Xenopus tropicalis: one gene and its partners. Each later gene encodes a partner of the first gene's protein in a complex. Links are inferred from orthologs where the notes say so. Each region holds a gene or a part of one and is shown on either strand. Other genes may lie near its edges.

What was found.
Region 2: the proteins of cul3 (region 1) and kctd5 are in contact, whole or in part, in a cryo-EM structure (PDB 8U83), measured with the Homo sapiens proteins. The link is inferred for Xenopus tropicalis from reciprocal best matches to the Homo sapiens genes CUL3 and KCTD5. Residues at the interface, in NP_003581.1 of Homo sapiens: Thr24, Met25, Asp26, Glu27, Lys28, Tyr29, Val30, Asn31, Ser32, Ile33, Trp34, Asp35, Leu36, Leu37, Asn39, Ala40, Glu43, Asn48, Ser50, Leu52, Ser53, Glu55, Glu56, Leu57, Arg59, Asn60, Ala61, Tyr62, Thr63, Met64; in NP_061865.1 of Homo sapiens: Trp45, Phe55, Leu56, Thr58, Thr61, Arg64, Asp65, Lys67, Ser68, Pro96, Thr97, Tyr98, Phe99, Gly100, Pro101, Leu103, Asn104, Tyr105, Leu106, Arg107, His108, Gly109, Lys110, Leu111, Val112, Ile113, Asn114, Lys115, Leu117, Val122.
Region 3: the proteins of cul3 (region 1) and klhl22 are in contact, whole or in part, in a cryo-EM structure (PDB 8K8T), measured with the Homo sapiens proteins. The link is inferred for Xenopus tropicalis from reciprocal best matches to the Homo sapiens genes CUL3 and KLHL22. Residues at the interface, in NP_003581.1 of Homo sapiens: Thr14, Arg17, Ile18, Arg19, Ala20, Phe21, Pro22, Met23, Met25, Asn49, Ser50, Gly51, Leu52, Ser53, Phe54, Glu55, Tyr58, Tyr62, Leu66, Met118, Asp121, Ile122, Met124, Tyr125, Arg128, Val129, Gln133; in NP_116164.2 of Homo sapiens: Asp73, Tyr74, Arg76, Gly77, Met78, Gly81, Gly82, Leu83, Lys84, Glu85, Leu92, Ile93, His94, Leu117, Gln121, Val125, Cys128, Gln129, Gln131, Pro133, Trp146, Glu150, Asn151, Asp154, Val155, Arg157, Leu161, Phe162, Asp163, Ser165.
Region 4: cul3 (region 1) and klhl25 share a complex: the UniProt entries of both Homo sapiens proteins name them as parts of the BCR(KLHL25) E3 ubiquitin ligase complex. The link is inferred for Xenopus tropicalis from reciprocal best matches to the Homo sapiens genes CUL3 and KLHL25.
Region 5: cul3 (region 1) and klhl21 share a complex: the UniProt entries of both Homo sapiens proteins name them as parts of the BCR(KLHL21) E3 ubiquitin ligase complex. The link is inferred for Xenopus tropicalis from reciprocal best matches to the Homo sapiens genes CUL3 and KLHL21.
Region 6: cul3 (region 1) and klhl42 share a complex: the UniProt entries of both Homo sapiens proteins name them as parts of the BCR(KLHL42) E3 ubiquitin ligase complex. The link is inferred for Xenopus tropicalis from reciprocal best matches to the Homo sapiens genes CUL3 and KLHL42.
Region 7: cul3 (region 1) and kbtbd2 share a complex: the UniProt entries of both Homo sapiens proteins name them as parts of the BCR(KBTBD2) E3 ubiquitin ligase complex. The link is inferred for Xenopus tropicalis from reciprocal best matches to the Homo sapiens genes CUL3 and KBTBD2.

What each region holds. Positions count from the first base shown.
Region 1 is NC_030681.2:123,779,715-123,784,005, forward strand, and holds the start of cul3 (cullin-3), read left to right. Parts: upstream 1-1,491; 5' UTR 1,492-1,675; coding exon 1,676-1,741; intron 1,742-4,291. UniProt on the Homo sapiens protein: Core component of multiple cullin-RING-based BCR (BTB-CUL3-RBX1) E3 ubiquitin-protein ligase complexes which mediate the ubiquitination and subsequent proteasomal degradation of target proteins.
Region 2 is NC_030685.2:28,823,122-28,826,621, forward strand, and holds part of kctd5 (BTB/POZ domain-containing protein KCTD5), read right to left. Parts: intron 2,619-3,500; coding exon 2,510-2,618; intron 820-2,509; coding exon 728-819; intron 1-727. UniProt on the Homo sapiens protein: Its interaction with CUL3 suggests that it may act as a substrate adapter in some E3 ligase complex. Does not affect the function of Kv channel Kv2.1/KCNB1, Kv1.2/KCNA2, Kv4.2/KCND2 and Kv3.4/KCNC4.
Region 3 is NC_030677.2:152,826,019-152,828,649, reverse strand, and holds the end of klhl22 (kelch-like protein 22), read right to left. Parts: intron 2,381-2,631; coding exon 1,994-2,380; 3' UTR 501-1,993; downstream 1-500. UniProt on the Homo sapiens protein: Substrate-specific adapter of a BCR (BTB-CUL3-RBX1) E3 ubiquitin ligase complex required for chromosome alignment and localization of PLK1 at kinetochores.
Region 4 is NC_030679.2:111,537,627-111,541,064, reverse strand, and holds klhl25 (kelch-like protein 25), read right to left. Parts: upstream 2,307-3,438; 5' UTR 2,301-2,306; coding exon 531-2,300; 3' UTR 501-530; downstream 1-500. UniProt on the Homo sapiens protein: Substrate-specific adapter of a BCR (BTB-CUL3-RBX1) E3 ubiquitin ligase complex involved in various processes, such as translation homeostasis and lipid synthesis.
Region 5 is NC_030683.2:99,627,038-99,631,230, reverse strand, and holds the start of klhl21 (kelch-like protein 21), read left to right. Parts: upstream 1-1,393; 5' UTR 1,394-1,501; intron 1,502-4,193. UniProt on the Homo sapiens protein: Substrate-specific adapter of a BCR (BTB-CUL3-RBX1) E3 ubiquitin-protein ligase complex required for efficient chromosome alignment and cytokinesis.
Region 6 is NC_030679.2:10,512,130-10,516,410, reverse strand, and holds the start of klhl42 (kelch-like protein 42), read right to left. Parts: upstream 2,801-4,281; 5' UTR 2,315-2,800; exon of another isoform or gene 2,289-2,314; intron 2,270-2,288; 5' UTR 2,019-2,269; exon of another isoform or gene 1,839-2,018; 5' UTR 1,499-1,838; coding exon 669-1,498; intron 1-668. UniProt on the Homo sapiens protein: Substrate-specific adapter of a BCR (BTB-CUL3-RBX1) E3 ubiquitin-protein ligase complex required for mitotic progression and cytokinesis. The BCR(KLHL42) E3 ubiquitin ligase complex mediates the ubiquitination and subsequent degradation of KATNA1.
Region 7 is NC_030682.2:61,961,583-61,965,082, reverse strand, and holds part of kbtbd2 (kelch repeat and BTB domain-containing protein 2), read left to right. Parts: intron 1-2,844; 5' UTR 2,845-3,109; coding exon 3,110-3,279; intron 3,280-3,500. UniProt on the Homo sapiens protein: Substrate-specific adapter of a BCR (BTB-CUL3-RBX1) E3 ubiquitin ligase complex that acts as a regulator of the insulin signaling pathway, modulating insulin sensitivity by limiting PIK3R1/p85alpha abundance in adipocytes.

The DNA of each region.
Region 1 (4,291 bases):
TACTGTTTGGAGTGCAACGCAGGAAATGCCAGAAAAGAGTTGATTAAACTCTCACCTCAATGACTTCAGTCATTTACACAGGAGAAAGGTGTGCTAAATATCTTATGCCCCCCAAGCCTTTAAAGAGACATTTCCATTGTATACAGTTCCACAACCAGCAGGCAGTTCTTCATGGTCTAACAGCTTCCCTGTTTTAGTTACAAGTCTATTAAAAGAGGCAAATAAACATTAAACCCACATCTCACTCTTACTTGCCTTCAGGCTTGGCTTCCAAACACCATAACAAGGTTATATAACAGAAATGTACAAGCATTGGGTTAATAATCACCCTGCTAAAGCTCCAGATCAATTAAACACTCACCCCGGATTTTACTCTCTGGTCTTTAGGCTGCCCCCCTTAGCTTAATAACAAGGTCCCACAAAAACTGGATGGCCTTAATTATTTTCATGATGGTGCACTATAGTGACAAATTATTATATTATGAGTATTATTATATTAAAGGAACAGTAACACCAAAAAAATTAAAAGTTTTTTAACATAAATATAATGTACTGTTGCCCTGCAGTTGTAAAACTGGTGTTTGCTACAGTAACACTACTATAGTTTATATAAATAAGCTGCTGTGTAACCACGGGGGCAGACGTTCAAGCTGATAAAAGAAAGAAAACGCACCGGTTACATAGCAGATAAGCTGTGTAGAATATAATGGGGGTTTATCTGTTATCTGCTAAGTAACCTGTGCCTTTTCTGCTTTGAATGGCTGCCCCCATGGCTACACAGCTGCATTCCTTATATAAACTATAGCAGTGTTTCTGGGGCAAACACACCAGTTGTACCAGTGCAGGGCAACAGTACATTATATTGGAAATGCTTTTATACAATGTTTTGGAATTTCTGTTTCTTGGGAGAGTGGGCATCTTAACATGAGTCTAGCCAAACTAACGTTAATTAAGTCAAAATCAATCTATTTCTTTAATATTGCATGTTTACTTGAAGCTACTTAGTAACCCTATCCATACACCTACGGTAGGTGTGACAAATTCGTTGTATGGCTAGGGTTCCCGGGTTCCAGACGGTACACATTAGTGTCTATATACGCATTACCACCTAAAGAAGCATAAGTGACGACAGGCGTTTTGTATATATACGGAACGCGTCAGCCTCCACGTACGAACTGCGCTCAGAGCGTCACATGACGTCACTTGTCAACGTTCCACGGATTACGTCGCTGTCGCCGGAGCCTGCGCAGCAATGTATGCGCGATGTAATAAAGTTTATTGAGACGAGGTAGGGCTGCGGCTTAGTGACAGCGCTCCGACCGGGGGTGGGAGGAAATGAATGGAAGGGGCGGGGCTGGGTATGGAAGGGCGGGGCTTGTTTGAACTCTCGCGACACACACCCCATTCCCAGGCTCCTCCCCTCGCCGGCCTTGCTGGGAAAGGGATGTTTGTCCGCCATCGCGGAGGAGTTTAGTCAGCGCTGGGTGTTAGGGCGTTCGTATAGTTTTAGACCCCCCTGCAGCCCCGGGGGCCGCATTGAAGGGAGACCAGACTGCCGTAAAGGAGCTCCCGCCGGGTCGCTGACAGGCCGGGCCCGGGGCCTCCTCACACCTACACCCGCCGGGGGGAGACAAGGAGGGGCCCCGGGGCCGAGTGTGAGCGAACAGCCGCCAACATGTCGAACCTAGGGAAAAGCACCGGCAGCCGGAAGGATACCAAGATGAGGATCCGAGCCTTCCCGGTGAGACTCATAGGATACTTGTGGGCAAATCCCCGGGGGCCACATATGGATGGCAGTGTAAATACAGGAGGCGGGCTATAAGTGTCACTAGCTGTGACATCCAACCTATCATCCTGTAGCTCCTCTTCTACCGGATATCCCAGCATCCTCTCCGAGCCAAGTGCAGAGCTGCTAGTGTTTGTGCACAGGTAGCACTGCATTGTAAACATTGGCTGCAATGTGCTTCCAATAAAGGCTCTGTGAGCTGTATGTATGGCATGGAAAGCCCATTGCCTCTGTACAGCTGTGCTAGCTGTGACTGGATCATTTCATCTAGCTGCCTGACATCTGTATGGCCATGAGTATGGGATGCCCAAATTCACACATTATTTATACTAAACTACTACTCCCAGTATCATCTGACAGCGAGCCCCATTGCAGTTTACCATATAGATGTGTATCATGAGCCCCCACTTAAATAAACTAGACAGGGATACCCAAGTAGCCATCCTATAGCCAATACATGGAGCATATCAATGCCAGCTGGAGTTGTGCTTCAGCAGGTGGGCTGCATTAGTTGCCCTGACCTGTACAAATGCATGAGGCCGCTTGCCAAAAGATATATAGACTTGAGTTAATAAAAAGCAGTTCCACCCCAAAACATATTAATAAATGAAGAAGTCATTGTTAGAAACTTGCCATTAGGGTGAAGACACATGGAGCAACTTAGTAGCAGCTACTAGTCATGGCTAATACATGTAAATGTAAATGATCAGCATTGTCTGTTTCTGTAGCCATGACAAGTGGCTGCTACTAGTAGGTCTGTGTGTCTTCACCCTTATAGTTTTCTGTTGTTTATAAGGGTGAAGACACATGGAGCTAATAGCTGTTACTTGTCACGGCTACAACAATAGACAATGCTGATTATTTACCGATACATGTCTCTACGTGTGGTTTAGCAGAGGCAATTCTCAGTATTGTCTATGGCAGAGTATTTTCTGGCATTTACTAGCCATGACAAGTAGCTGCTACTTAGTAACTCATTGTGTTTTCACCCTAAGCTTTTTTTAATCTTGGTTAAAAGTAGTATTTGTTAAGTCCTTTGTGTAGCCTAGTTCTGACTCTTGAACAATGTAGCAGAAGTCTGTTTTCCAGGTCTTTTAATCAACTACTTTCTGTTGAATTATTTCAGGTGTCCAGCAGAGGAAAGAATATAAACTGAAATAGAAAATACTTTACAAACGCAGAAAAAAATTTAATATTGGAAAGTTGCCTCAAAATATAGTTATACAAAAAGCTGTTTGTTTTTTTTTTGGGCATATTTCCACTTTAATAATGTGTACTTAGTTCAGGACTTATGCAGTATATAAACAAGTATTGTACATCCCAGGTAACAGCATATTACAAGTTAGTCATTTATTTCCCTGTTATGTTCTTCTTAAAACCAAAAATTGCTTGGATGAATATGTATATTCTAAGCATGTAAAATATATATGCATTATCCCAGCAGATCATCCACTGTTCTCTGACAGTGTTTCCACAGCTCCTTGTAGCTGCACTGATGGGCAGTGTAGCTACGGAGTGTAAATCAGACTGAGAAATGCAAAAGCCTACATTTTCAGGCTGTTCTTTGCTTGGTGTAGCTGCACTTGGTGGATACACTGGCTGTCACCATAACATTAGCAGTCAGTAAATAGACATTCAGGTTAGAAGATTTGTATGGAATGCAGTAGTGATTTCCTGCCATTTGTTGTTGGTCACTGATCTATGGTTTCGCCAAAGAGAGTGGAGTATTATCCAGTCTGGTGAATATCCCTACACATAAAGATATGCACAGTTATGTATAATGCCGCTTTACAGTCATTCTAATCAGAAGCCAAAACAATGCTGATGGTGGGAAACTGCAGTCCATGCATTTGGCACCTATTGCCTCACTCGCTGTGGACCCTTTACCTGGATAGTCAGGCAGTGAACTCCTTGGGGCATTTTTGTAATGGCCTTCCCAGCCCAATCTGTCCCTCAGATGTCACCTGGGGACACAGGTATAAAGGCATAACATTCTGAGTACATGCTTCCAGTGTTAACTTGGTGTGCAGAGACCTGAGAGTTTATATTGATTTCAGATTTGGAGCTGCTCTTATAGCAGCAAGGTTGTAAATTGGTTGTTAGATGAAGGAAAGGTATTTAATCCTGATCTGCTCATGAAGATATGGGAATGCCAGTGCACACTAAACTAGGCAGTGCACCTGTATGCATGCTTAAAAGAACATTGTACTGGCAGTTCTACAATTAGTGATTCATACACACAGTTGGCAGGCAGTCTCACTGAGCTAAGCAAGCAAGAGAGTTTCCATTCTAAATCTATATCTTGGTGAAGCCAGCCAATTACCTGTTGCCTGAACGTTCATTTACTGTTTATTTAAATGTTTATTTAACATTTAAATTATTTTTGGTATGACTTTGTAGCAGACCAAAGGTATGGTGATCCAAATTATGGAAGAACCTTATCCAGGAAACTCCAGATTCTGTGCAGGTTATATCTTGGTGAAGCCAACAAATTGCATTCTTCCT
Region 2 (3,500 bases), on another chromosome or scaffold:
TAAGCTTTCTCTACGGGCGCCACTACACACCTTGGGATGGAGGCCCAAAGCAAATATCTTTGGCAAATTGGTAAAGTATGTAAAAGCAGACTTAATAAACACGAAGGACCATAAAAAAACATTTGCAGAGATGGAACGTTGCTTTGAAAGCACAGAAACAAAGTTTTGCTTAATGACAACTCTCCCATGCAGATAATGAGTTTTGCAGCTGTGCAATGGTTGGATACACTGAAATAGCAACCATCAAAATGGTGATGCTAATAACAAGGGGGGGGGGGGGGGGGGAAGACATCATTTCTAGGCATTACTCATTCTCTAAAGTATAAAGCATCAATAAACTTTTGTGAACTGACAAGTGGGCTGAATGGTAGAGAAGTAAAGGATGTGATACATCCCCAGTTGACCTCATACTTAAGCACACAAGATACTGTACTGACTAAAAATAGATGCCAGTGCAGTGTTCTTATCTGGCACTGATCCGAAAGCCTAAGGTGACAATAAGCCAAGGGTAAAGGCTTATAATCTGAAAGTGTATACTGGAACCCACGTGAGATATGAGCAACAGTCTCAGAGAGGGGAAGAAAACAAACATTCCTATTCGTCAACACTTAGGTCTTGTTACACCGACCGTGCACAAAGAATAAAGGGCACAAGAGACATTTTAAAGCAAATCTATGTTTAGAAACATTTACAGGAAATGTGTCGCCAAAATATCAGTGAGCCTTACCTGTGACGTTTTGCTGTCTCTTTCCCGTATTCTGTCCTTAACTAGTTTAATTAACGATGTAATGTTATAGAATTCTGCTTCTTCCAGAACACCTATATGAAAGCAGATTTAGCAGGAATAGTGAAGATTTCAGAAAAATAAACTTCTGCAAAAAGGTAAAAATCTTTATTTGAATGTACCTAGGAAATTGAAGATTCAGTAGTAGGAACCTGCTTGGCCCAATGTTTTTAAAAAGCCACCCCATAGCTACTGGACACCCAAAATAAAGGGGTTGTTCACCTTTAAGTTAACTTCTAGTATGTTATAGAATGTCTCATCCCTAGCAACTTTGCAATTGGTCTTAATTTTTTAAAATTTCTGCATTATTTGCATTCCTTATTTACATCATTCCAGCTTTCAAATGGGGATCCATTTGACCAATGACCCCCGCAGCCAAATCTCTGAGCTTACAGTTTTATTATAATTGCCAATTATTAATCCTTATCCGTCTATTCAGTCCCTGTCGTTTATATTTTAGTCTCTCATACAATCTGCTGCCTGGTTGCTAAGGTAAATAAGACCTTGGCAACAAGACAGCTGCTGAAAATCCAACCAGGAGAACTGCTGAACAAAAAGCTAAACATCTGAAACAGTCAAAAATAAAAAATTAGAAATGGTCTCAGAATATCAGTTTCTATGTCATACTTGGTTAATTTAAAAGGTAAACAATCCCTTTCATGGAGAAATAAAAATCAGCTGTTTGTGGACCAATGTTCAATAGATCCAGGCATTTGATTGAACGCCAGTAAGACAAGCAATGAAAACTTCATTCTGGAGACAAATAGAATAGAAAGTCCCAGACACACAAAGGGTGGTTGCTAGTATGATTATAGGGTAAATGCAAGTCTCACACCCTCAAATCGTACCGGGTAAACAGGAAATTCAAGTTCAGACATGGTCAGAATAGAAAGTTAAAAAAAGAAAGGCTTTCAGAGCACTAAATAAAGTTAAAACATTTAGCAGCAATATTAATCATCACTGGATTAAGGACTTTATTTGGGACAGGCAATTGGAAATAGATTGGTAAATGAAGTCCAACATAGCCTTGGGCACACAGGGCTTTAGTGTGATGATGCAGAGAACAGTCAAACAATATAAATCTCCCTCCTGCCTTCACTCCCCATACTACTGAATGGCAAGCCAGACTTCAGTGCTTCAGTCATGGCTCCCAGTGCATCCAATAAAAATAGTTGTATTCATTTCTATCCATGGCAAGCAGAACGCCCCTAGCTCTTAAAGCCTTTAAATTAACTACACTACATGTTTTCAGCCAAACCAGCCTTCCTCAGGTGCATATGTAGGTGATTCCTTATCTAAGAAAATTCTCTTAGCACAGTTACTTCTAACTAGGGTTGCACCAAATCCACGCTACTGGACGAATCCTTAAAATTTTTGAAAATTTCAGAAAATAGCAGTAGGGCTGCACCGAATCCACTAACACTTTATAAATAGCAGGGTTTGAATCCTAAGCAATGCTCAAGATCATAAATCGTAGAAAATGTTTTATGAAGACAAAATTCCTGTTTACCTACCTACTAAATCCTTTTTCTTGCTCCAATCTAAGCCTGTTATAATATGCTTGTCTGGGCTGCACATTGTAACTAGCATTCTGTTGATACAAGCCAGACGCCTGGATATGTATTTTCCCCCTACTAAGTGCCATTCCCCAAATGGTGAAACATCAGCACAGCTTTATCCAGAGCCAAATCTGCATACCCGGATAACTGAAAAGGGCACACTTACCTTCTTCTGCTAGGTCTCTGTTTATCACAAGTTTCCCATGTCTCAAATAGTTTAATACTGGACCAAAATATGTAGGGTCTCTGTCTATCAGATATGCTCCCGTTTCATCCTAAATGTTAAAAAAAAAAAAAAAAAAAAAAACATGGAGTGAAAATTGAGAAGGCAAACATTACAATATACACCCTGGGTTCAAAGGTTCTCTTTTGTAGGAAACAAATGAGTACGTACAGGGTGCCATCATAGTCCACCAAATATGTTGACTAAAATCAATTAAGTTTTTGCCATCCTTTTGCATTATTTTTCATGATTTTTGCATTATCAAAGCTCCTGTTCTACCTATTTCCAGCCTGAAGTTAAAAATCCTATCTGGTTGTTAGGGGCCATTCAATTTCATTGTAATTCTTAATTTGTATCTTATTTTTCCAGTCCTTTCATACGGATCTTCCATTGTGCCTTCCAAGCTGCTGCTTGGCTGCCAGGGTAATTGGGCCATAGCAACTAGACAGTTGAAATTCCAAGGCTGCATAAATGATGAACACGTATGGCAGACATGACCATTAATGTTACCCAACAAATCCAAGACATCCTATTTTATAACACTGATTTTTTTTTTTTTTAAAGGGCCAATACATATCAAAGTTGAAATAAGGCCCAATGAAAAGGATTGCTTTTCTGTGATGTCCATTTTTATAATTTATCCTTTAAATAGGTTAAAAATATGCATCCTCAGATGCCTATATGGCAGTGCTGTCCAACTTCTGTGGTACCGAGGGCCGGAATTTTTCCGACCTACGTGGTGGAGGGCCGATAATGGAAGCCAGTTTTGACCACTCCCCTTTTTGAAACCGCACCCACTTGAAACCACACCCGTGTTATCACATGACCATACCCATATTAATGGTTGTAGTACAGCAAAACCTGCCATACTCTGCCTGCCATACTCTGCCTGCCCTGCCTGTGTGTGCCATTATCTGCCTGCCCTATTCTGCCT
Region 3 (2,631 bases), on another chromosome or scaffold:
CAAGATTACAAGTATATCAAAACATTGTTCCCATCATAAAAGTTAAGGTGCGCGAGGTCGCCAAACGAGCGGATCTTCTCCCGATACCCCCACCTACGGGTTGGGGAATTTGGGAAAATGTAGGCCAAATGATCGAATTCTAACGGCGGCAATGGCACAGTCGGTTAGGGACCGTATCAACAAGACGATGCAGTCCCTGATCTGACTGAATCTTTTAACCTGCCTGATCGATATCTGGCCAATTTCAGGCCAGATATCGGTCGGCTATGGCCATCGATTCTGCCCCTACATGGGCAGATAAGCTGCCGAATCAGTCCAGCTACAATCGGCCCGTGTATGGCCACCTTTACACTCTCCAGTTAAAAATCTCCATGTGTCAGGGCTTTGCCTGAAGAGAATCTTGAGTAATGTACAGATTTCATTTGGTGCAAAGAAGATAACAGAGATAGTGCAGATAGAAGAATGTATCCATGCAAGTAAGGTAGAACTCAAACACATTATGAAAACAACATGATTTTAATATATTTTTTACAGTGGATTTGTCTTAAGACCAAGTTTGCACACTTAAAGCCAAACTACCTGTGAGCCATGATGGGTAATCAAGAGGGATATCCTGGGCAATTCTCACCAATGCCCACTGAAACAAGTTTTTGCTGCTGCCATTATGTTTAAATCTTAAAGGAACAGTCACATCAAAACATGATAGCATATCAAAGTAATTCAAATACATGCACTGGTAAAACTAGTGTGTTTGCTTCAGAAATCCTACTATAGTTTAAAGCTAGCAGCAGCTATTCTAATTGAAATAGGGCTAAATGGCACAGGTTACATAGCAGATAATAGATAAGCTCGGTAAAACACAATTGTATTCTACAGAGCTATGTAACCCCTGTGTCTTTTCTTCTTTTTTTCCAGCTTAAATGGCTGCCCCCTTGGTTACACAACAGCTTTGTTAATATAAACTATAGCAGTCTTTCTGAAGAAAACAACCTTTACCAGCGCAGGGCAATTGTACATTATATTTTGATTATTTTAACCCATTTTTTTTGCCGATACTGTTCCTTTAATTTCCAAGGACATGACATGATCCACTCTTTTTGTTTGCCTTTTTTTAACATAAACATGAGATGATTTGTTGCTAAAATATAAGGAAGAGAATCAAATTTGATTTAAGAATGAATATACATTAAAACATTTTGGCAATTCATCAAAAGATCTTTTTTTTTGTAACCAATTAATATTCACTGCACCTCGTGCAAGACTGGGCAGCAATACCCCCTGCAGTTTCATGTAAGCTGTGTTTATTTTCCTGTTCACTCCACAATATTTTGTCAACACTGGTGCACAAACAAGCAGCTTAGAAGTAACATTATTAGGCAGATAGTGCATTTGCTGAGGTACAACTACCAGCAAGAGGGATGGAAGCAGTAATTTAGCAACAGGTAGGAAGTATGTCGGATGTCCTTTATTTCTGTAGTGTGTTATGAATCTAGGGCCCCAGCTTTCCTGCATTCCATCCCCACCCCTGTGCACTTTCCATATGCAAAAGACAACTGTGCTGACATACAATTATATATAGACATATACAAGAGAAATAAAATTAAATTTTTGTACATTTGGCAAGTTTTTCAAATATTATTTAACAAGTCTTATCCCTAAAGCAGATTAAGAAGATCTTTTCTCACTGCATGGTGTCACTATTTTAGTATGATCCAAACAGCAACAGCCAGCCCAGCCCACTAGAGAAAGCGCTAGAAAAAGGGATTTCTGCATGAAGATGTCTTGAAGGCACCGGGATTTGGTGCAATCAAATCAAAAGCTAATGCACTGCAAAAAACAGAGCAAGGCATTTTGTGCACAAAAACCTGAATCCCTGCACTTTATTAAACCCTCTCATGAAAGAACATGCACATTGCAAAAGTGCCAGATGCTCTTGAAAGGAGGAATAATCAGTCCATGTACAACACCACTTACACATGACTGAAGAAAGATTTCAGTCTTCACCAGAATTATCCAGGTCTTCCCAGTCTGAAACACTCATCACTTCAGAAGCGTTGTCAGCCAAATTTTGCACAGGGTCCATGTACTGCATGTACATCTCCTGAGTCCACACATCAGTATCCATAAGCACAGACCTGGGCAAGGTGAGGACACAAGCAGCCATTCCTGAAATGTCATCTTCCAGCCTTGGACCATCCTCCCAGTAGTCCCTTTCTGCTTCGTACACATGCACATAGTCTGTTCGATCCCCCTGATTGTGTGACCTTCCACCCAAAACAAAGATTTTCTTGGCTAGTACAGCAATACCAGGTTCACCATGCCCTGCAGGAAGAGGGCTGACAAGAGTCCACTGATCTGTTTTCGGACTGTAACAAGCAACCTTGGACAGGAAAATAAAAAAATAAAAAAAAACACAAATTATACGAGGCAAGCAAGCTACAATGCATAATCAAGCAAGCTGGTCCGTCAAGTCTCACTCATTAGGTTTTTAATTGGCACTACCATATAGGGTGTCCAGCTTTTAAAGGACAAGGAAAGTTGTAGTTACATGGAGGTGCTAAATGTTAAGCCTCAAATGAGTCACTATGCGTTTAAGTAAACCGGTCATAAAAAATTCACAAGGGGGAAGTC
Region 4 (3,438 bases), on another chromosome or scaffold:
TTCTTCATACAGTGGACTAATTGCGCACCATGGCACATGTTCAGGAGCCAGATTATAATAAAAATAATTGCCATATAGTTAAGTCAATTAAAAAGGCCATCAATTTCTACTGGAACACCACTGGACTGCAGGCCCCAGCTGGAGAATCCTGGTATTATTATTGACTGTTACTGTTATCTGGTTGAATGGGTCAGTGACCCTAGCACCGACTTCAAAGTCAGAATCAAGGCTGAATGCGGGAAGGACTGGAAAGAGAGAAAAATAACCAAGTAACCTTTCCAGCCTGGCCGCGGTTATTGACCTGAGCATTTAAAGATTAACTCTAGAAAGACACAAAATTGAAAGGGAAATAAAAGATTAAGACCAATTGCATAGCTGCATAAATTACAAGTTCATTTGATGGTGAGCTTCCTTTAAATCACGCCGCTAGATCTAGAAGTGTTTTTGCACCATGAAGGCAGATGCAGGAAACTGACAGAGCACCAACAAACTAGAAGGCATCCGTTTAGCTCTTTATTCTACAGACCTGCTCATGCCGGCAAATGCTTCCAAGTGCTAACAAAAGCAGTCGGTATAAGAGAATAAGGCACTGAGGTGATGCTATTCCAGGAGTCTGAAGTTGGATCATAACAGTCTAACGTTTTACACCGCTGCGTCCCAAAGTAACCTCCTACCACGTACACTTTATTCCCTGAAGCCAACGCGTGGCACGACATACGTTTTGCAGTCATATCTCCTATTCTTGTCCATTGGTTGGTTTCACAATCAAAGCGATATGCAGAAGCTGCTGTGAATTCCGTGTCACCCCCCATGATAAAAATCTGACTTCCTAGCACTGCTGCAGCAGTGTAACGCCATGGCTGTGGGCATTCGGCTTTAATACTCCATCTGTTCTCATCAGGGTCATAACACTGCACTTTGGAGACTCTATCTCGATGTATGCTAGTGCCTCCGAAGGCAAAGAGCTTAAGCTTAGCGCTGACCACAGCTGCGTTACTTACACCATCCCTCAATGGTGCCATCATCGTCCATTTATTTGTTAATGGATCATACTTTTCAACTTGTTTTAATGACACAGATGGAGAGGCTGGGAAAACTCCCGCAACTGCTGTGTGCCCTCCAACGACATAAAGGCAGTTCTCCAGTTCAGCAGAGCCATGCCCAAACCTTGCAATCAGCATTGGGGCTGACTTTGACCATTCTTCATTGATCGTATCATAAACCCAAACATCTTTAGACACCCCATTTTCAGAACCACGTCCACCCGTTACATAGACCTTACACCCAATGGCACAGGCACTGAACTCTTTCCTTGGACTTGGAAGATCGGCTTTTGGAATAATTTCTTTGGCCTTGTGATCAACTTGATAAATCTTATCGCACATAAAAGTCTGTCCTCCTAAAATAAGTAAAGTGTGACCTGCTTTCCGTGGTTTGGCGCACAGACTTGTTACTACTCCATCGTTCTGAAGTATCTTCTTCTTGCAGACAACAGCTTCATCCATGATTAATTTGCTCCTCTCATCTGCAATAATTAAATCCTCGCAAACCACAGCTTCCTTCAGTAATTCAGACGGGAGCAAAGCCAGCCTTACCTTTCTCAACAGTTCTGGAAAGTAATCCTTCCTTTTGTCCAAGTCCTCCTTTACCCAGTGTAGTACAGAATTAAAAACAACCTGCTCATCCTCAATCTCAAGTTCATCGCTGGAGATCAAGTCAAGCACCATGTCCTTTGAAAGACTGCAGAAGTCTTCGGTGTTGTGCAAAGTTGCAAAATTGGATAAGCACGTTCTCAGGGACAGCTCGTACAGTCTCTGGCACTGATGTGCATCTGACAAAATCATCATTCCCAAACAATTTGAGGGATAAAGGTTCTTCTCCAAAAATTCACAAGCTGCATCCCGTATATCATGAAACTGAAGCATATCTCCAGCTTCCAGAAGAGATTCGGCATTTTCTTCATTAATGATAATTTTGGAAGAGTAAGCAAAGTCAAGTAAGAGCTCCAGTACCTCTGGGTGAAGGCTGTCATGGAAATTTACTGTGTTATCCAGGCTCTCTCGCAAGCCATTGCTGAACATGGCCTCAAAATACTGACTGCAGGCTGCCAGCACCGCGCGATGACAGGGGAAAGATCTGTTTCCAGCCCACAGTGTCACGTCGGTAAAGAGCCGCTGTTTTCGCATGGTGTTTAGGTGGTTTAAAACACAGTCAGAGTGTGAGAGTTTATGGTATAATGAGATATTCATGGATCCTGTACTGGTGCGTGATTTGCGATTTTCATGGACGGTGACAGACATGATGACATTTATGGCTGAAAAAAAAATGTAGGAAGTTAGAATTATTCGCTCTAGCAGATGCATTTTTATTCAAGAAGGGTAGGTTTATTTTAAAATAGAATTACTTAGAAATGTGCCCAGAAAAGCAAAATTTACTTAAAAACAATGCACGAAAGGCATATTGACATATGTTTTTTTTCCCACAAGACTCAGCTTTGCTACGCTGGGCAATATTCCACAGCAACATCCAGAAAAATCAATCAAATGTAAACATAATATAATATACTGCTTCCCTGTGCTGCAGAAACTGTATGCTGAGTCAGGGGATCATTATAGTCATATAGGGTAGTATGAGCCATTCTGCTAATCTTCAAAAATCTGAAAAATTGCACCCCTTAGCACCCATGCAATTATCCCTTGTGCCTGGGGTCATGATGGCCTGCACCAGATTAGGAATCCAACACAGGGTGTAGAGTCTATAGGCAGGTGGTAAGTACAGGGCACTCCCAGCTCTCCGTAGCCTTCACATACAAATGACAGGTAAGTTAGAGCCTGTTCCAAAGATAACCAGGATGTGGCCACCACTTACCCTATAAATACAGTGCAGTATTCAGAGTAAGTGAGTGAGTGTTCCACAAGTGTGTATTTCTGTAGCTTAGGGCACAAGCAGCGGTGAAATATGTAATGTGCATTTTTATGCATTGTCCCGTACTCATAGGGGTATATTGATTAAGCTGTGTAAAACAAATTTGCTGCGTAAAAAGCTGTGTAAATTAAACAGAGAAGATCGCAGTCCAAACGCCAGATTTTACGCTGTTATTTTCAACAAGTTCTGGCTGTTTTTTACACAGCATAATAAATATGCCCCCAACTGTTACTGTCTTGATGTGCCCCCTACACAACTCATTGCCTATTGTTTGCCCTCTACTTATTCTCCTTCAATTGTCAGTGACCCACTCTCCTACCCCTCAGCTCTCCTCTATCATCCTTCTATGCTTGGTACTCCACAGTCTAACCTTAACCCTAGGGGCTACTTACATGGGATGAATCTGTGCAAGCACAGATACATGAGAACTGATAGAGAACGGATAGAGAACTGGATGATGAGATGTGCTGGGAAGATTATGGAAAGCTTATGCCATGAGTGAGACGTACTTTT
Region 5 (4,193 bases), on another chromosome or scaffold:
AAGCAAAACTGATGGCGAAAATCAGTGTGTCATTTTTTTGACCCTGCACTGTTTTGCACTCTAAACCAGAGCTTACTTGTAATATAGTAAAGACATGGATTTAGCTATGGTTTAGATCAGTGATCCCCAACCAGTTGCTCACCAACCCCTTGGATATTGCTCTCAGTGGCCTCAAAGCAGGTGCTTATATTTGTATTCCTGACTTGGAGGCAAGTTTTAGTTGCATAAAAACCATGTGAACCACCCAATAGAATCTCCTGTATGCTGCCAGTCCACGTAGGGGCTACCAAATAGCCAATACCCCCATGTACATTTCCCATGCTTGTGTTGATTCCCAACTCTTTTTACATTTGAATGTGGCTTACAGGTAAAAAAGGTTGGGAATCCCAGGTTTAGAATGTGAGTCACATATGGGTTATCTAGTCATTCCCATGTCAGTGTCAACTACTAGACTTCAGATTGTTGCTGGGTGACTTTCTTGTACTGTAATGACTAACACATTACACAATAACTATGAACTTGCACCGGATATGGAAGCAGCAGTTTTTCACAATGGTGGGGGGCAGTAACCAATAATTTGACAATACTGTCCACAAACCAAAGTCTAGCCAATTCTGAATCTTTTTTTTTTTTGTTTCTTTAAATTTACTTCTATAATGCACAATATTTACATAGCACCGATATGCAACACATCCTAGCAAAGAATAAGCACCCCAGCAACCTACACAAACACAGTGAGAACACTTAAACTTTACTCATATATTGACCCCTTATATGGTATCTGTGCACTGATTGGTGCAGGGTTGCACAATGTATGGCCACTTAAAGCTAGCCATACATGTATCGATAAAATCGTACAAAACCATCAAATTTTTACACACTCAATTTCACAGTCAATTTTAGCAACCAGCCTGTACGATCTTAGATACATGCCGTATTTGCGTAGTAAAAGTTTTAACATAGTTTTGGCACCCATCTTCTGGGTAGGCAGAAAAAATCCATATGCAAATGTCCAGTATAAAGTTAATTTGCAGCTGAGACTTGTGAATGCCTGGCTGCTCTGCAGGGTGCCATGAATGTGCGACTTAGGATTTATTTAGGGCAAGAAGTAGAGTTAACTGCCTTTGCATACCAGGACAATGCTGTTAATTTAGCCTGGTTTCAAATATCTGAACTGCGCTCACAGGGGGGGGAGTCATTTATTATCTAATACTAAAAGAGTATGTTTCAAGAGGGAAGAGGATGCCTTTTTGCGCTATTTTGTGCTTACAGTTTGTTATGGTACAGTTGAGTCCTGTCAGACACTTATTTTGGGACTGTATTTTGTGTAAGTCATGGAAACATATTAGTGATTCCCCTACAGAGTTTGACAATGCAGCGATCCTACCACCACAACACCATCTCCCTCCATCAGAAATAGCTTGTGTGGAGAGGAATGTGAACAGGATTCTGCCTTGCTGTAACCCTTAGGTATCCCAGGACTTCTGCAGGGAGCAGCTCTGTAAGTACTAAAATCCTACTGAGCACAATGAACAGTATGTAATAAGTGTAGAATCTGCACATAAATGTAACAAGTGTGTTTCTTAGCTTTAATTGCATCATCCTACCACAGTACTGTAAATGACATCAGAGACAGGTTACATATGGTATTCATATTATGCCCATGTTTGTAGAAGTAGTATGATGTATCTATATATATATACGCACATATACACTATGCATGACTGTATATTCATATCCAGCTTGTGGTAATCTGCTGGCACAGTACCAGGCACTTTGGAGCTGGCTGCCAAAACCGATAACCTTAGAGCTACAGGGCTTGGTGTAAAGAATTTAGAGTAGGGACCTAGACATAGTAATTGAAAATGTACACGCGTCTGATTTCCCCTTTCTTCCTTCTGCATGTATATTGCTTTTCCAATGCAATGGTTAAAACTTTCTAGGTAAACATGTCAGGGGTGCATAACAGTAAAGTTTGATTTTGGAGACATTTCTTAGTTGTCTTCCACGTCACATGGATATTATACACAGCCAAGTTATGGCAGTTGTTTTGGTGTTTTACGAAATCACAATATAAAAGGTAAATTATTGTAAAACTTTGCCAACTTGCTGGTGCTAAAAAATAGGTGATGATGAAATATGTCACATCTTTTCATGCCACATCATTTATTAGTAAAGCTTACTGGTATGGGTTTAGATTATTCTTCCGAAGAAAGACTTGTTTATCTCTATGTAAGAAAAGCCTAGGAAACTAGGAAGCCTGAACCAAGGGTTCCTATAAATCCAAGCTTATATAGCTTCCAACTTAAAGTAAATATACACCCGGATTTTCAAAATGTAATTTTTCAATTTGCAAATATTTGAGGGAGTTGTTCCTAAAGCAGGGGGAATCCTTGACATGAGTAACGTTGGATCTTGACCCGCCCTTCTCCCAACCAACACCCCCCTTTTTACCTGTTTACTTACCATCCCCAATAAACAACACGGACACCAATTCTTGGGATAAAATGGCCGCAGATAATTTATTAACAACAATCAAAGTTTTAATTTAAAACATAACATATATAACAAATGTGAAACAACATTTCAAACATAACACAAATGTTTGTATAACAAACAAACCAACTTTTAAATAACCAAACACTGTAACAATCCAATAACTGCGCAGCGCAACTGGCGCTGCCAGCTGCCCTTCTAGCCCGGAACCAACTACCCAACAAAACTCACCTCCTAATCCACTTTCTTACCCCTGAGGTTCCAAGCATGCCAGCCCCAATTAACTATAAAACTCCCCTCCTAACCCAACCATTGTTTTCCCCCAACTTAATCACCCCGCCGACGACACTCCGCTATCTCCACCTCTATAGGGAGGGAGGGTGGGCGTTTTACTATGCTGACTAAAATGGATTGAGAAGCGGGAACAGTTACCAGCCTTTTATACCCCTTACAAATCAACCAATCACCTGCAACTGGGGGTGGCTACGTCTTACCAACGTATCTGTCATGCCCCTGCTTCCCTACGTTTTACTACGGGTCATTGGGCTACTTTCTGAATAGGGTGCCCTCAATTCCTTGCTGTTCTGGGATACCCCTTCTGGGCTGTGCATAGAGTCATGTGAAGCCAGGTTATTTAAAAAAAAAAAAAAAAAGACCAAATTTGCCAGCTTTTGTATAGTACAACACTGCAGCTTCATGCCTATTGTTTAGTACCACTAGCAACAAGGATGTAAATATAGATTGTGCTGCTATTGGCCCTAGGAGCTGGTGCCCACAGCATTTGGGAAATATGCCATCCAAATATTTCTCTTACCCTTTCTAGATCCACAGATGTCTCTCATTCTAGCTATGCTAGCCTAGAAATAAGAAACTTGCAAAGGAAGAACTCTGAAACTTAAAAGCTTATTATTAAAAAATATACAGTATATCCTGCTGCCCCCCCCCCCCCCCCCCCAATCCAAGTTTTCTATTGACTGGAATGAGGTAGAATGAAATATATAGCCCTATGCAACTGGCAAGAAATGACTATATTTACAAAAAAGATGTTTATATATTATCAATTGCATCTACTAAAGCCAACATTAGGAATAATTAACATCAAGTGTAAGTTAAATGTTTTTCAGATGCTATTGTTACCAAACACCATGCATGCTTTACAACATTTGGTGACTGTCCAACAGAGAACCCTGTAATTACTGGCTGCTTAAATCAGGCCACTGAGCCATAGGCACTCTGATGGTAGCAATTTGATGTCCTGGGCTTCTATTTGAGGGCTCCACACAGAAACCAAACTGGAAGAGACTAAACTGTGTGCCCAAAGTATCCTGTGGGTAGATAGTAAGTTGGGTTGAAAAAAGACATACGTCCATCATGTTCACCCATAATGCCTATATATAACCTGCCTAACTACTAGTTGATCCAGATTAATTACTTTAAACATCAGACAAATATCACATAGTCCCGAGACTCCAAAAAAGCTATAGACAGTGTTTTTCCCATTCACATGAAGTGGCTAGCAGTGGGTAAGTTTTCACCAAAATTTTCCACAAAAAACTGAAAGTTTAAAACACGCAAGCATATCACTGTGTTGCTGGCGTGTAAACAAACAAAAAAAAAATAATTATTATAATAATGTACCAAATGCTATCACCCTCTATGAGGTATCAACCGTCACCAGCATGGCTGAACATCCCAGA
Region 6 (4,281 bases), on another chromosome or scaffold:
TGAACAGCCCCCTAAGTTTGCTCATAGCCTGTACAGAGAGATACCATAAAACTATGGCACATAGGGATTCCCCTGTACTAAGCACAATTCAGCACCTTGCTATTTCCCTTGCATGTCAGTTTGACAGGATGATGGGAGTTGTAGTTCAATAACAAGGGGAATTAATATGGTTCCTATAGATGATAAAATAGAAGGTGTGCTTAGATTCTCAATACAGGACTCAGGATATAAATTTATTTTATTATATGAGTTCATCCAAGTTTAGAACTTGGAGTGGAACCTTGCACCTGGTATGTAAAGGGGAAGTAAACCACAAAATATTTTATTTTGTGCACAGAAATCGAAGGCCTGCGGTAGCTTCACAGGTGAAAAACACCAGCAGTCAAAATGCCCTGGTCCACTAGTCACCACAGCTAATGCTACTCAAACACAAGCAGTATATTTCCCCCTAGCAATCAGGAAGCGGTGTGAATGACAGATTTGAAGATAACCTGTAAAATAAGACTTTAAACTAGTTAGGGGTTGCTAGGGTCACTGACCAAGCAACCAGGCAATTGTCTGAATAAAAGACTGGCATCCTGGGCTCCTCAGTGGCCATAGCTTCATAGGACAGAACCAGAACAGAAAAGCAAAGTGACTAAGGAAAACAATATTCCCCACCTGATTACCTCTTTTGGTTCATGGAGGGCTCCTGGGTCCAGCACCCGTTGCTCGGGTTGTACGAGTGCACGGCACTGATCTCTTGCCCATTGTCCCTCCTACCTCCAGCCACAAACAGGTAGTTATGGAGTGTGGTAGCCCCATAGCCTTGCACCCTCAGCATACTCTGTGGGACCTCTCCGGTCATGACTTGCCAACCGCCTCCCCCTTCCAGGTACCTTAGTAGCACCCAGTTGTCAGGGCCCTGTTGGGACAGGACCATAAGGGCTGGGGTTCCTCTCAGCCTCTCTTCCAGGACACGAGTTCTGAGGGACCTTGGGCTCTGCTGGAAGTCTTCCCTCCTCAACATAGAAAGGTAATGAGCAGCCATGAAATGTAGAGCTGCCGAAGCCAAATCCCACTGGCCATGCAACTGCGCCACCTCCAGGATATCCAGACACGTGTCCAGGGACATGGAGGACTGCAGGAGAGACAGAAGACCTTGGACCTGTAGGTAGGATGCGGCTTCCACCACAGCCTGTAAAGGGCCCGATGACTCCAGGCCGCATGTTGATTCATCCTCCAGTGAGCAACGTTCTGGATCTTCCAAGGAAACAACCTGGAAACCAAACTCGGAACCCCCCTGAGCTTCTAGAAGGGAACCCCCAGTGATGTGGCGGAGAACCCCTTCCAGGCCCTCAGGGGTCAGCCCATGCAGAGTCACTGGTTCCCCATGACTTTCCCTCATGCCCGACCGGAACAGTGACTGGAAGAAACCACTCTGAGCCACCAGCTGTTCCCTAGGTACAGAGTAACACCTAGAACCCAACAGTATCTGAACTGTTTCTACAGAGGACATCACTTATACATGCATGATGCCTTCAAGAACCCAGAAATGGAACCAGAAAAGGGATCTACCAACATAAAAACATCACACTATTTGTGCACCGCATAGCTACAAGAACCTTGGGCACCTAATCAGGGCATCAAACTCTCATATCTGCAAGAACCTTGGGCACCTAATCAGGGCATCAAACACCCATACCTACAAGAACCTTGGGCACCTAATCAGGGCATCAAACCCTCATATCTACAAGAACCTTGGGCACCTAATCAGGGCATCAAGCACCCATATCTACAAGATCCTTGGGCACCTAATCAGGGCATCAAACTCTCATATCTACAAGAACCTTGGGCACCTAATCAGGGCATCAAGCACCCATATCTACAAGATCCTTGGGCACCTAATCAGGGCATCAAACCCTTGTTTCTACAAGAACCTTGGGCACCTAATCAGGGCATCAAACACCCATACCTACAAGATCCTTGGGCACCTAATCAGGGCATCAAACACCCATACCTACAAGAACCTTGGGCACCTAATCAGGGCATCAAACCCTTGTTTCTACAAGAACCTTGGGCACCTAATCAGGGCATCAAACTCTCATATCTACAAGAACCTTGGGCACCTAATCAGGGCATCAAACACCCATACCTACAAGAACCTTGGGCACCTAATCAGGGCATCAAACACCCATACCTACAAGAACCTTGGGCACCCAATCAGGGCATCAAACACCCATACCTACAAGAACCTTGGGCACCCAATCAGGGCATCAAACACCCATACCTACAAGAACTTTGGGCACCTAATCAGGGCATCAAACACCCATACCTACAAGAACCTTGGGCACCAAGCACCCACTCTGGGCATAAGAATATCAGGCAGAGAACCAATAAAGGAAATGCCCAATGTTCCTTACACCCCCCACCCATGACAATTAAGGAATCTCTTGGAAAAATACTCCAAAAATAACAGCCCAGAAGCAACACCCTCCAATCAGGAACAGTTGCCCAACTAGAGAATGGACCTGGATTCCCCACCCATCAGCCGGTCCCGTTTCAGCTCAGCAAACTGAGTAACAAGAAAGTCCAGAAAGAGAGAGAATCCCATCTGTGCAGCTTGTCCATTCAGCTCATTGTGCCAGCAGCTCTAGCCCCATTGGCTGCCCCCACTTGCCCCCCTTGCCCAGTCTTTCCGTTTACCCAACATGGAGAGAACGCCCCAATACAAACTGACCATCCAGGCATTTCACTTCCTGAATGTGCAGAAGCTTGTAAAAAACCCAGTCCCCTCCACCTGCGTGCCAGGGACCACGCCCACTTATACGCAAACACGTACTTGACACGCCTCCTGCCCCTCTTATAACCACAAGCCGCGCAAAGACACGCCCCCATTGCCAGACGCACCTCCTCATGGAAGCGTCTGCTTCATAGACAGGCCCCTCCCCTTCCCATATTGTGTTTTCCCCCCCATGCCCCATAAACACTGGCCTTATATGTGCAGCTGGGATTCTCTATGGGAGGGCTATATCCCTGCCAGACGCCATCCCCATGGGAACAGGCAACCCTAGCAGATATTACATAGTAGTTGGAGTTCAGCCTTTATCGCCCAACTGAGAGACTTTAGCTGTAAAAGCCGTAAAGAGATACTGACACCAGAAATTAAACCCTTTATTGCAACTGTCATGACACTGTTTGTACATTTATTTATTTGCCCATAGAAGTGTTTGCCCAATGCATTTATATTACCTATCTGGTCTCCATGTCCCTCTATGAGGCGGCGGCGGCCATATTTGTGCAGCCATTATTGGTTAGCATTAGGAGCTATAACTGACCGGCTGGGAGGGGACACTCAGGTTTAGGAACGTCAAATAGAAATGACTTACATTAACAGCCCTCCCTACCTGGGAGGATGTTGAGGAGAATGCTGGGAAGGAAGCTGGAGGATGCTGGGGGGGAACTGGAGGATGCTGGGGGGAGCTGGAGGATGCTGGGGGGGAACTGGAGGATGCTGGGGGGAGCTGGAGGATGCTGGGAGGGAACTGGAGGATGCTGGGGGGAGCTGGAGGATGCTGGGGGGGAGCTGGAGGATGCTGGGGGGAGCTGCAGGATGCTGGGGGGGGAACTGGAGGATGCTGGGGGGAGCTGCAGGATGCTGGGGAGTGGAGCTGGAGGATGCTGGGGGGGAACTGGAGAATGCTGGGGGGGAGCTGGAGGATGCTGGGGGGGAGCTGGAGGATGCTGGGGGGGAGCTGGAGGATGCTGGGGGGGGAGCTGCAGGATGCTGGGGAGTGGAGCTGGAGGATGCTGGGGGGAGCTGAAGGATGCTGGGGGGGAGCTGGAGGATGCTGGGGGGAGCTGCAGGATGCTGGGGAGTGGAGCTGGAGGATGCTGGGGGGAGCTGGAGGATGCTGGGGGGAGCTGGAGGATGCTGAGGGGAGCTGCAGGATGCTGGGGAGTGGAGCTGGAGGATGCTGGGGGGGAGCTGGAGGATGCTGGGGGGAGCTGCAGGATGCTGGGGAGTGGAGCTGGAGGATGCTGGGTGGGATGCAGAGGGGAACTGGAGGATGCTGGGGGGAGCTGGAGGATGCTGGGGTGGGGAGCTGAAGGATGCTGGGGTGGGGAGCTGCAGGATGCTGGGGAGTGGAGCTGGAGGATGCTGGGGGGGAGCTGGTGGGAGGATGCTGTTGGGAGGATGTTGAGGAGGATCCTGGGAAGGGAGCTGTAGGATGCTGGGGTGGGGAGCTGCAGGATGCTGTGGAGTGGAGCTGGAGGATGCCGGGGGGGGGAACTGGAGGA
Region 7 (3,500 bases), on another chromosome or scaffold:
ATAACTTGTGCTGAATAACTGAGTAGTCTAGAGATCAGCCCAAGTAATGTTGGCTTTTAGATTAGGAAGTGAGAAACTTAACTTAGCTTTTTTTACAATAATAATAGTGTCTTAATATTTTTCAGTGTTTTTTGAAAATTATAGATTTTGGGAGTGAATGAATCTGATTTTAATTTTCTTTCTTGTCCTCTACATTCAGTAAGCTAGATCACTTGCATAAATTCCTCAGCAGTGCCAGCAGCTAATGCTTAGGGAGCATCCTTCATTGAGGCTGATAAGTTGATACATTTTTCAGCAGCTTAGGAAGCCGGAAACCTTTCTTCCTACTGAAAGAACAGGGGATTGGGAAATGAAACCAATTTAAGACTTAAAGAATTTAAGAGTGAAAGGCAGAATTACTGAAAGGCTTTTAGTGATTATAGTCACTTACTCCCTACCACAGTACACCACTCCTCCTCTTCAGAAAAAATGCGCTGGCCTATGGTAGTTTTGAGTGCCACATTGCCATATTGTTCTGGTGTCCCAAGCATCCCCTGCACCTATTGCACAGTACAGGAATTGGGGAATAAGTTATTTCACATACCCCTATATGCAATTTTTTGTAGTATTGCCATTCATTTTCACAGGCAATGAGTAGGTAAAGGATTTTTAAAAGGGTTTACACAGAATATGATTCAACTGTAGGAATTTACATTGTGCTTAATTCCATAGCAACCTGCAAGTTTATCCACCACAGTAGGAGCTCACTATCACCCCCATCCTTCTTGATAAGGGAACTTCTCCTTATGCGATATGATTCTCACTATGTTCACATTCTGTAAATTGTTTAGGTACAGGCAGCTCCATGTTGCCCTTCCTAATTGTAGAATGCTGTTTAGGTATGTGTTATGCTATGTACCATGGGCTCCCCTGCAAGAGGAGACCACAGGGACAGACCAGTACGTAGTCTGCAAACCTTGTTAAGCATGTATGATACCCTTATATTCTGTATTCAGTGCCAGGGTAAACCAAGGATTTTCCCAAAATGTAACTACTGATTTTTCCTGTGACCTCCTATAAGAGGAAACCAACTGCTCACCAGTCGTGACCTCTCCTATAGGTGATCAAAGGAAAAGCTACTGTCACATTTTCTCCTCTAAACACCTATTCGACTGCTTTGTACCCTACTCCAGAGTATTGGATAGTACTGACTTGTTTTGGTATTGTTGTGTCATCCATTTATGTCTTGTTAGAAATGTGGGTTGTTGACAAACATAATTACTTAGTTGGTAAAATTATTTTATTTAACTATATGATATTTATCATTTTTAAGGAGCTCTAACAGCTGTCTGATCAGAGCTCTACATGCATACTACTTGCCATAGATTGCACCCCATTGACATCAGTGGGAAGTGCCAAGGTTGTACTATCTTGGATTCAGGTGATAAACTCTTTAGTGCAGATGTTTCATCCCACTGAGTTCAGTGGGAAGGGTTACATGTCTTTGAGTGATTTATTAATCACAAGTTGCAGCCATCAGGGTCCCATGTTCATTGCCCTTACAATGCAAAAAAGAAAAATGTTTGAGGCAGAAATCTCATTTAGAGTACATCAGGGTTTGGCACATGGCATGTATTTCTGCAGTATGTTTCAGCCAGGTGAAGCAACTAGAAGCACCACTACCAGCATTTCCTTTTCCTTATATTTTATCTGAAAAGGCAAACTAAATCCCTACCCTCTTTGCTGTTAGTATTACCCTCCCCAACAGCCTACTCCCCCTGTCTAAAATACCACATGTTAAGTTTGGTTGTGGTACATCTGCTGCCAGGTTCCTTGGCAGTCCTCTCCATGCACGTTTTGTTGACTGTTTAGGTAGAGGTTTTACCGCAACAGAGACCTTTAAAGGACTATTAATAGAAATTTCATTTATTTCTATTCGGTCCCAAGTCCTTGTTAAAGCAGTGTGTGTTTAGTGGTGTCACTGCCATAAACAGTTATATTTTATATATATTTTTATATATTTTAAAGCGGACCTGTCACCTTAAGAAATAATTTTAAATTGTTTTCTTTTGTGTTTGGCAAGCAAAATAAACTTTACTTACACAGTATAAATTATTTTAATCTTATTATCTTCAGCCATGGAATTCACAATTGCAGCAAGCAGGCAGGGGCCATTTTGTGGACACTGTTATCAAAGCAGGCATTGCATCCTGCCAATATCTTGTTTCTGTGCCAGTACGGGGGGACCTGATGCCCATGTTCATGCACTGGTTACACAGTTACATGGTGAGGAGGGAGGGGGAATGTGAGGGGTGCAGCAACATCTAAGAAGTTCTGAATTGAAAATTAAAGTAACTGTCTGCCCCACCTCTATGCCTAAGGCATAGAGGCGGGGCAGGCATTATATGATTGACAGCTGGGATTTTAAAATGCTTTTATAATGGGTATGGATGTGGTAATAAAAAAAATATTTTGGGCTTTATGTTTAATTTGAAAAGGACTTTTATTATACAGCTTTTTATGTCTGGGTGACAGGTCCACTTTAAATATATGCTTTTTTGGAAAAGGTAAAAGTGCTGGGTAAATCACCATTATATGTAAATAGCATTATGGAATTTTCAGTTTCTGGTCTTGGAACTTTGAGAACATTTAGAATTGCATTTAATTGTAATACTAGGCACTGTCAAAAAACGGACCATAGCCACTAATTTAAATGGAAAGTATTGCTGGGCTCCTGGAGGCACATTCTGCCTAATCTAGCTACATTGGGTCTAGGGTAAATTGGAATTGATGCTTTATTGCACAGAATGTTTCTCTTTTTATTATTATAACTTATTAACATTACTTCTGCTGTTTGTTTTTCAGGTTCTGGGAATATAATGTTAATGGCACAGTCTGGATTTCAAGTAGCCTCTGTCAAGGAGCACTCTGTTAATTAACTCTCAGCAATTACGGGCACTCTGGATTGTGAAATCTAAGATGTATGAAGTACTTTGTTGGATTGGTATTTTAAGGCACTTTTACTAACTGTGCCGCTGTCACTTAAAAAAATTTTTAAGAATTTTTGTCATCTACACAAGGCGCCCTTGTTTTGCTTTTTAGCCAGTGGACATATTAATGGAATGCAGCCATGTCCACCCAGGACGAAACGCAGATCAATACTGAATATGCGGTTTCCTTACTGGAGCAGCTGAAACTGTTCTACGAGCAACAGCTACTGACTGACATAGTATTAATTGTTGAGGGCACTGAATTTCCATGTCATAAAATGGTTTTGGCAACATGCAGCTCCTATTTCAGGTAAGTTAAAAAGCATTGCTATGGAAAGCACTAATAAGTGGTATAGACAATGTACATTGTAGAATGTTCAGCCCTGATTGTTAATGCTATAGGAATATTTGGATGACATGCTTCTGAGCTGTAAACTTGCTTCACATACCTTTGTATTCAATGATAAGGAACCCACTGAGATTTTAAAGCCATACTGACTATGAAAATCCTTTGGAGTATCAGTATTAAAG